2 linked regions of the Saccharomyces cerevisiae S288C genome follow. The gene in region 1 interacts genetically with each later gene. Each region holds a gene or a part of one and is shown in the gene's direction. Other genes may lie near its edges.

Region 1 (4,179 bases):
TGGTATTAACTGTGGTTGTCCTATAAAGGAACAAATCCGAGAGGGCATAGGTTGCGCTCTGATATACAATTCAGATTTGTTATGCAGTATGGTCCATGCTGTGAAAGATAAGTATGGCGACAAACTAAGAATTGAAACGAAAATAAGAATACATGAGGCATTGGACGAGACGGTGGAGTTATGTAGAAAGCTATGTGATGCTGGGGTAGATTGGATTACGATTCATGGCCGAACACGTAGAACTAGGTCATCGCAGCCGGCTAACCTGGATGCGATAAAATATATCATCGAGAACATCAGCGACAAAAATGTGCCTGTAATAGCGAATGGGGATTGTTTTAAGTTATCCGATTTGGAAAGAATCACCAAATACACTGGTGCACATGGTGTCATGGCTGTGCGTGGGTTGTTAAGCAATCCAGCGTTATTTGCTGGATATACTACCTGCCCTTGGGGCTGCATTGAGAAGTTTTGTTATTGGGCTCTAGAGTTTGGTGGCTTGCCTTTTCAATTGGCTCAGCACCATCTGTACTGTATGCTTGAAAATATGGAGTTGAAGAAATCTCTGTTAAAGAAAATGATGAATCTTAAAAATTACATTAGTCTGATCGACTGGTTTAATAAAACCTTTGAGTTCAAGCGTTACGGCGAGGATGGATTTGGCATGGGCGTTGAAATTCCTTATAAAGCTAATAGCTGTGTGCAGAGGAGCGCCTCAGTGGTTGAGAGACAAGAATGAATAAATTTTGAATTACAAAAATCTAATAAACTGTGGTACTGAAATTGTATATATTTTCCTATCATTCAAGAGCGTATACTCGTACCCCGAAAGCAGCTCTGTTTGTGTAATAATATAACCTAAAAGAAATAAAATGCTTATAAGATGGACATTATTTTTTTTTTTTTACAATTTAAGCATCTTCTTCAACGACAACGGTTTGTAGACCCTTAGCAGAGGCAACCAAAACTGGTTCGACGTAGGAAAACAATGGGTTCTTGGCATCTTCTTCTTCGTTTCTCTTTCTGGAGATTCTCAATCTCAATCTGTATTCAACACCCTTAACACCTCTTTTCCAGATAGCTTGGTTCAATTCTGGGGCTAGACGGACATCTTCAGTACCCATGTGTAATTTGGCGAATTTCTTGATTTCCTTCACAGCTCTTGGAGCTCTCTTTTTGAAACTGACACCATGTAGCTATATTAATATCAATTCAAGATTGGTCTGTTAGTAAAAAAAAAGTTGTTATAAGAAGGTGGAACTAAAGCATCACGCCAAAAACATCGGCCCAAGCGCCATTATAGTGTAAACGTGAGGTACGGATATCGATCGCAGAACACAGAGAAATGCAGTACCGAAGAAGAACCTTCCAGTCCTTGCATCACGCATTCCATATAATAACCTCTAATATTCCGAATTAAAACCTGGGGTCAATCATTGGAAAATGAAATTTCACCCGTATAGATTTCGCTTGGTATTTCACCACAATATCGCTTGTTGGCTTTCAATAATTTCCCACGTAAAGACAACGCTAATTTCGACATACTCTTTTGTGCAAGTTGATGGTGTATTCACGAGTGACAACGTCTTTTAAACCGGCCATTTTCAAGTACTTTGGATTATCTGCTCGTGCAATTGAAATATACTAAGACCCAAGACTATGTAAAACTAAGGAACCTATCAACAATGAGACTGGTCAAATAATAGAGTAAACATGTACATGAAGCACTACCATCAGAAAGAGCTTACAAGGTTACGAAACAACGTCAGTGCCCTCTGTCGCATTACCCTCGGTTTCGCGCCCTTCCAGTTGGCATTTGAAGTGCCAATCCAATTGTGAGCACATCCAACTAGCGTGCCCTTGCAATCCCAGAGGACACCATACAACTTCCAGCCTAGTAGTGAACTTACCAGGCGAGGAGCGCGGGCGCCAGAGGGCAGCTCATCTGCGTTCCGGCTCTAACGAGAAGGGCGGAAATGGCACCATCACCTGAAAAAGAACGTAATCTAGGCTGAGCCGCGCCTTTAAGTTTTTGTCGCATCTGGCTGCGCTTCATTTAAACGGCACTCCTAAAAAATTGTATGAGGTGATTTTTTTTGTGTACAGATGTACGGATGTACGGATGTACGGATGTATACTATGTAATAATGCACGGATGTAGAGAAACAGAAACGAGGATAATAAAATCGGTTTTTGTATCATCTGGCGGCGATATGGCGCAAGGCTTTAAGTAAACGTCCTATATGGTACTAACGGGGTTTTATTCCGAATCAAAAGAAAAAGAGATACGAAGTCTCTCTTAGTAAAAAAGTCTTTATGGAAGATTATCGATAATTCGATAATTCTACCGACAACAGTGGTTTTGTTTGGCTCAGCAAACGTGCAGCACCATGATCTTGGTAGATTTCTTCTTTACCCTCACCTTCCCCACACCATGTTTGCTTGCTACCCGTGTGTAATGCTATCAGCGCGCGTTTCTTTTTTTTTCTTGCTAACATTTTTCAACTTTAAAATGAAACGATGCATGAGTGATAGAGGCATTGAACTTTAGTAAACAATAGAAATAACCATCGGAGTTATTATTTTTTTCTGCTTATTCTTTGGTCGCAAAAAAGTGTGTTGTATAATTCTTTGGAATATTTATAAAAACAGGGAATACTCTAACAACAAACGCTAGTGCTTAGCTACTCTTCCGCTGGTACTTCAATATAGCTTGTCACATATTTTTGTCCATTAAGGTCGTTAAAACCCGAATAATTTTGTACGATCAGTTTAGTAAAAGAAATACAGTATTCAAAAGCTAACGGTTTATTATGACTGTTTCTACTTCCAAGACCCCAAAAAAGAATATTAAGTATACCTTAACACATACTTTACAAAAATGGAAAGAAACTTTAAAGAAAATTACCCACGAAACGTTGAGTAGTATCGATGACTCTAGTGGAAGCGATGAAAAAATAGAGGCTCTGTTTACTGTGTCTCAGCCTGCCGTCGTAGCCTCCAAGGGTATAGACAGAGATAGTGGTGCTTCTATGTCGCAGGTAGGAGGAGGTGTCAATAGTACATTGGAGATGAAGCTCACAGATGAGAGTGAGGAATCTAGCTCTGCTAATAACACGACCACAACCGCCTCGCATACTCTATCGAATTCGAAGAAGTCTACGCAGAACTTTGAAAACTATAACGTAGTGGAGGAACGCATAAAATTAGCACAGAAAAGTAAGGCGCCGTTTTGTAACGCTGAGAAAATCTGGAAACGAAGAAGACAACTCTGGACACAACCCACTGAGCAAAGTGAAAGCGCCAATAATGACGGAGTTACTCGAAGGGAGATTTTCCAAGCTATACCTCAGGAATATTATGCTCGAGTTTACAAGAAACTGGTGGTAGATGATAAGCCATTGAGAGAGCCTCTAAATCTGGAAGATGCTTTACAAGTCATAAATGCAGGCTGGACGGAAACGAGAAAGTGGGCTAATGCTGCCAAGGGCATGCCATGACTGAGTGTCGACGTCCTTTTTGTTTTGCCTTATAGCATCTTTTCCTTTCTTCAAATTTGCATTACACAACTTTAACTCAGTTAAAGAACTTCGTCATTTACTTATTCTTCTTTTTTTTCTTACCCTTCTTTCTCAAATCTTATTTCTGTATAAAATACGTATTGATTCATTCCATTAATAATAACATATAATAATAGTACTAATTTAAAAACATTGAATATATTTATCGTTTTATTTCGAGTTGCGATTCTTTTCTATCAGTTGGTACGTCATTTCAAGGATTCGGAGATCCCTATCCACAAGCTCTGCTTCCTTTTGTAATGCTTCGGTATGCCCCATATACGGAGTGTACTTTTCCAACATATAGTTAATAGGAGAAACACACTTATTTTTAAATGAGTCGTCATGAAGTCGCAATAACTTCTTCAACTGTACATTTAAAATATATGATTGATTATTTTCAATTTCTTGCAAAGTCTTCGAGGCTTCTGTTCTATGCGGAGAGTTGATTATTTTGTCGAGTAATCGGTCAAGTTCTTCAGACCTGTTTGGCATTTTTACGATTATCCAGTTCACACACATTGAGAATGTAAGGAACATTTATTTATTGTCGATCATTTATTAAATGTGGGAGGGACCCTTTAAGAACACTGCAACAAACCCAATAAATAATTCTTGG
Region 2 (4,901 bases), on another chromosome or scaffold:
GCGAGCAAGAGTAAGAAAAGTTGGTTAAATAGATTGAATAATTGGTTATTTGGATGGAATGATTTGTAATGAAAAACCTTACCCCCAAATGTAGTGCTTTGGTGCGATTCCAGCATCCTGTGATGTTCACCTACTTCAAGGTTATATAATTTTGTGTGTAGAATTGTAAAAAGGATGGATAGACAGTTCTTGAGATAAAGCACAGTTATTTTGGTATCACATCATCGGAGTATTTTTCAATTCTGATTTTTTGACTGGACCCAACAAACAACTCCAATTCATCCAATTGTCCTTCCGTAGGTAAACAACTGGAAATAGGTACACTTCTTTCTATCATCAATACAACAATGTTAGTACGAGAGACTTCCAGATCAGGTATAACGATGCCCCCAGATGGACATGTCCTATACTCTTGACATTCATAAACACAGAGAGCTGATTCAGGCTCGAAAATATTACATCGCATCCTTAATCGTGCTGATGATTCCACGGGTACTACACGTATAAAAAGTTTGTTCGTAGAATACTTTTTGGTTGGCAAAGTCATCTGAATTTTAAGTTTGTCTGAAGTTTCCTTCCAATGGAACCTGTTGCGACAATGATATGGATAAGTACCGTATATCAAGTTAACACTCCGTAAAGTTATTCCAGATATTAACCTCCATGAAGAGGATAACCGTATCGAGGCAAGTAATTCAAATTCCGTTGAGGCTGGAGGGCCGTAAGTTGAGCATACAATCATATATTTGACATTAGTTAAGATGGGCACGTCTTGTTTAAGGCCCTGCCCGGGCTGATAGTGGTTATCAAACATTATTGGCTTTATCAATTCATAGTCATTAAAGTAATATACTTGGATGTTAATTAAATCATGTGAGCTAGTTGAGATACATGCGGCGTCCATAAGTACTTGATAATCTTGTTCAGAGTGAACTTCCAACTCAAAAGTCGGATTTTGAAAAAAATTACAAGTATCAAATGAGGCTTTTCCCTCTATTTCATAAGGAAAAGAGAAAAGGACTTTGGCAAAAAGACTTTTTGTATCTTTCAATCTTTGAAAACATATTTCCTTCACAACTGAGAAAGAGTGAATACTGAAATTGTTGTTTGTTGTTGAATAACAATACAATAACCTCTCAGTCTCAGCATCTAATCTCAACTTTACCAGCTGAAGTCCAATGTGATTGCCACCGCATTCTACTGGAGGTTCAATTGGACAAATTATGCATTCGGGAGCCTCATTCAAAAAGGAAACTGACCGATTTTCTTGGCTGCCTTCATCTTGCAAATGGGATTCTAGCAATAACCATACCGTCTCTGTCACTTTAGAATTGTTTACCAGGTGAAATAAAGGTTTATCTGCAACGATAGAAAATTTATTGTAGCGTGAAGTATCGTACCGAAAATGAAGTACCTGAGAACGTTTGAATAATTTTTCTTGGTTCCAATTAAGATAAAGTTGTTTGAAATTTTTTAAATACTGTTCATAGCTGATTTCAACATTTAGTGCCGAGTTCCTCGGATCTCGCAATTTTACTAGCCTAGAATCATATGTGATATCAATTATAGAGTAATCATGGTTCTCAACTAGGGGCTTTATCATGTCATTGGAACGATTCCCGGTGCCAGCGCCCATCAGACATAAATTAGATTTGTGAAACTTCCATAATTTTTCGAAAGGATAGCTGTTTACTTGTGTTATCTCTGGTAAGAAGCCACTTAAGCGGTAAGTATCTATACTAATATTTGAGCCATCCGTGGAATATGTTCCTTTAGAAACAAGCAGTAATGCAAGCTCTCCAATTTTGTCCGAAATATCGTTACTCTTTAAAGAAAGTTGTTTGCCATCCACTGAGGTTGGGATCTGCGAAATATCTACTGTCACTAGCCTTTTGTTGCTTCCGTTAAAACTTAAATTGACGTGATATTTAGTTGATGATATTTGTTTAATTAGAGGGAGATTCAAGTTCTTAGACCTAAGATTAATTAGAGAAGCAACTAATGAGCAATCTGGCACATCTCGGCATTGTTCTATTCCGCCTGAATAGTCTTCTTCATTCTGTAACTTGGCTCTCCCTGGATAACGCCTTTGTAGTTCTTCAGTACCAGGTGCGCAATATTCGGTTTTATTCCAAGAAACCGGTGAGGCTTCTGAGATAGGTATAGGGGGATAAAACCTTGAATTAATAGTTGAAGTAAGCCATAAAAATCTTAATTGTTTATCTACTTTCGACACATTTTCTTTCAAAACTAAAACGGCCTCAATAAAAGTGGAATCTTCGCTTTTCATTGCCAAGCCAACCAATCTATTAATTATACTGCTTGAGTCACCTTCTGCATTACAATATATTGACTTTATCGCGGCATTGAACTCATGCCAATCATTCATTTTTGATACCACAAGGTTCTTGTCTTCGACTGAAATGGTCGAGTAACCGTTTAATAAGTTGTCTAGAGTTGATTATTGTGGTCCGTTTATGCCGACTAAAAGAACATTTAACTGTAGTATCATAAAATCAAAAAGGGATAAATATCCGCAAGAATACAAGAAAGAAGAAGTATATATGTTTTCTTTAAAATTTCAGAGCATAACTTGAGCCATGAAAAACCACTTCTCCTCAAGTTTATGTTGTTCCTCTATTTCCTACAGAAATATATTTACATTTGGTCGATATCGAAGATCTGGAGATAAGGTAAATAAATCCTGCGCGGTTCAAAGATACTCGATAAACAGCAACCAATGTTTCACAGAGTGCCATGGTAAAGAAACACCAAAATAGTAAAATGGGTAATACAAATCACTTTGGACATCTCAAAAGTTTTGTGGGAGGTAACGTGGTTGCCCTTGGTGCTGGAACACCTTATCTTTTCTCATTTTATGCTCCTCAGCTACTGAGCAAGTGCCACATACCTGTTTCTGCCTCAAGTAAGCTATCCTTCTCTTTAACAATAGGAAGCTCACTGATGGGAATTTTAGCAGGAATAGTTGTCGATCGAAGTCCTAAACTGTCCTGTCTAATTGGTTCAATGTGTGTTTTCATCGCGTATTTGATTTTGAATTTATGCTATAAGCACGAATGGTCTAGTACTTTTCTCATATCGTTAAGTTTGGTACTCATTGGATATGGTTCTGTCTCAGGTTTTTACGCTTCTGTGAAATGTGCAAATACAAATTTTCCTCAACACAGGGGTACAGCTGGGGCATTTCCTGTGTCCCTATACGGTTTATCGGGCATGGTGTTCTCATATCTTTGCTCAAAGCTTTTTGGTGAGAACATCGAGCATGTCTTCATTTTCTTGATGGTTGCGTGTGGTTGCATGATTTTAGTAGGCTATTTCTCATTAGATATATTCTCTAATGCAGAAGGAGATGATGCTAGCATTAAGGAATGGGAGCTTCAAAAAAGCAGGGAAACAGACGATAATATAGTACCGTTATATGAGAACAGTAATGACTATATAGGTTCACCTGTGCGTTCATCATCCCCTGCTACCTATGAAACTTATGCATTGTCAGACAATTTTCAGGAAACGTCAGAATTTTTTGCACTTGAGGATAGACAGTTATCAAATCGACCATTGTTATCACCTTCTTCCCCACACACAAAGTATGATTTCGAGGATGAGAATACCAGCAAAAATACAGTGGGCGAGAATAGCGCACAGAAAAGTATGAGATTACATGTATTCCAAAGCTTAAAATCTTCAACATTTATTGGTTACTACATAGTATTGGGTATACTACAAGGCGTGGGTTTAATGTACATATATTCTGTGGGGTTTATGGTACAAGCCCAGGTTTCTACTCCACCCTTAAATCAATTACCAATTAATGCAGAAAAAATTCAATCATTACAAGTAACTCTCCTGTCTCTTCTTTCATTTTGCGGCAGATTATCATCTGGGCCTATATCAGATTTTTTGGTCAAGAAATTCAAAGCTCAAAGACTATGGAATATTGTCATAGCATCGCTTTTGGTATTTCTTGCATCGAATAAAATATCCCATGACTTCAGCAGCATTGAAGATCCTTCTTTAAGAGCCTCCAAATCATTCAAGAATATTTCGGTATGCTCAGCGATCTTCGGTTATTCTTTTGGCGTTCTATTTGGTACTTTCCCCTCCATAGTAGCAGATAGATTTGGCACAAATGGGTATAGTACGCTGTGGGGTGTTTTAACGACTGGTGGTGTATTTTCAGTGAGTGTTTTTACCGATATATTAGGTAGAGATTTCAAGGCAAATACAGGAGATGATGATGGGAACTGTAAAAAGGGAGTGCTTTGCTACAGCTATACTTTTATGGTTACGAAATATTGTGCCGCTTTTAATCTTTTGTTCGTTTTGGGGATAATTGGATATACGTACTATCGAAGAAGAGCAACTGCAAATTCCCTGTAGACGGTGTCATCCTGACATTGCTTTCATATTCTTTTTCACCATCACAAATGAACATTTTAAGAAATATTACTATATACTGGTATATATTCAACATTTTACAACGGACTACCCGTGAAATATTTCCTCAGGGTACTTGAATTCAACGTGCAAGTTTTCAGCAAACTTTATGTCAGAATCACTGAAGTCCTTTTTCCTCCCAGCAGCGTCACCGCAATAATATATCCAATTCAACTTGATGGGAGAAATTTGTTCTGAAACCCTGTATGCACTTTCCAGGTCCCTTTTAAAAAACTCTACCATTCCTGTCATTGGTTTTCGAACTTTTTCGAATATGTTAGGATCATTGTTATAACTTTCACCTAAGCTTGCGAATGTGATCTTACTATGATTTGCTGCAAAAGTTTTCGGCCTTTTAGGTGCTGCATATAGCCATAACCTGTGTGATAACGTTTCTCCTCTCTCATCGTTTTTGATTGCCTTTAAAAATAGCAAAATTTTAT

Evidence for each region.
Region 2: mutations in GAG1 (region 1) and YMR155W together harm fitness more than expected from each alone (negative genetic interaction), as found in Saccharomyces cerevisiae (one large-scale study listed by BioGRID).

The regions. Positions count from the first base shown.
Region 1 is NC_001144.5:930,154-934,332, forward strand, and holds GAG1 (Gag1p), read left to right. Parts: upstream 1-2,813; coding exon 2,814-3,500; downstream 3,501-4,179. Other genes in the region: DUS4 (tRNA dihydrouridine synthase), read left to right, coding at 1-739; 60S ribosomal protein eL31 RPL31B, read right to left, coding at 912-1,196, 1,546-1,602; YLR406C-A (uncharacterized protein), read right to left, coding at 2,053-2,202; BLS1 (Bls1p), read right to left, coding at 3,732-4,100. UniProt on the Saccharomyces cerevisiae protein: Deletion results in antifungal drug fluconazole-resistant phenotype.
Region 2 is NC_001145.3:565,794-570,694, forward strand, and holds YMR155W (uncharacterized protein), read left to right. Parts: upstream 1-2,757; coding exon 2,758-4,401; downstream 4,402-4,901. Other genes in the region: FG-nucleoporin NUP53, read left to right, coding at 1-69; RIM13 (Rim13p), read right to left, coding at 206-2,389; TPP1 (polynucleotide 3'-phosphatase), read right to left, coding at 4,507-4,901.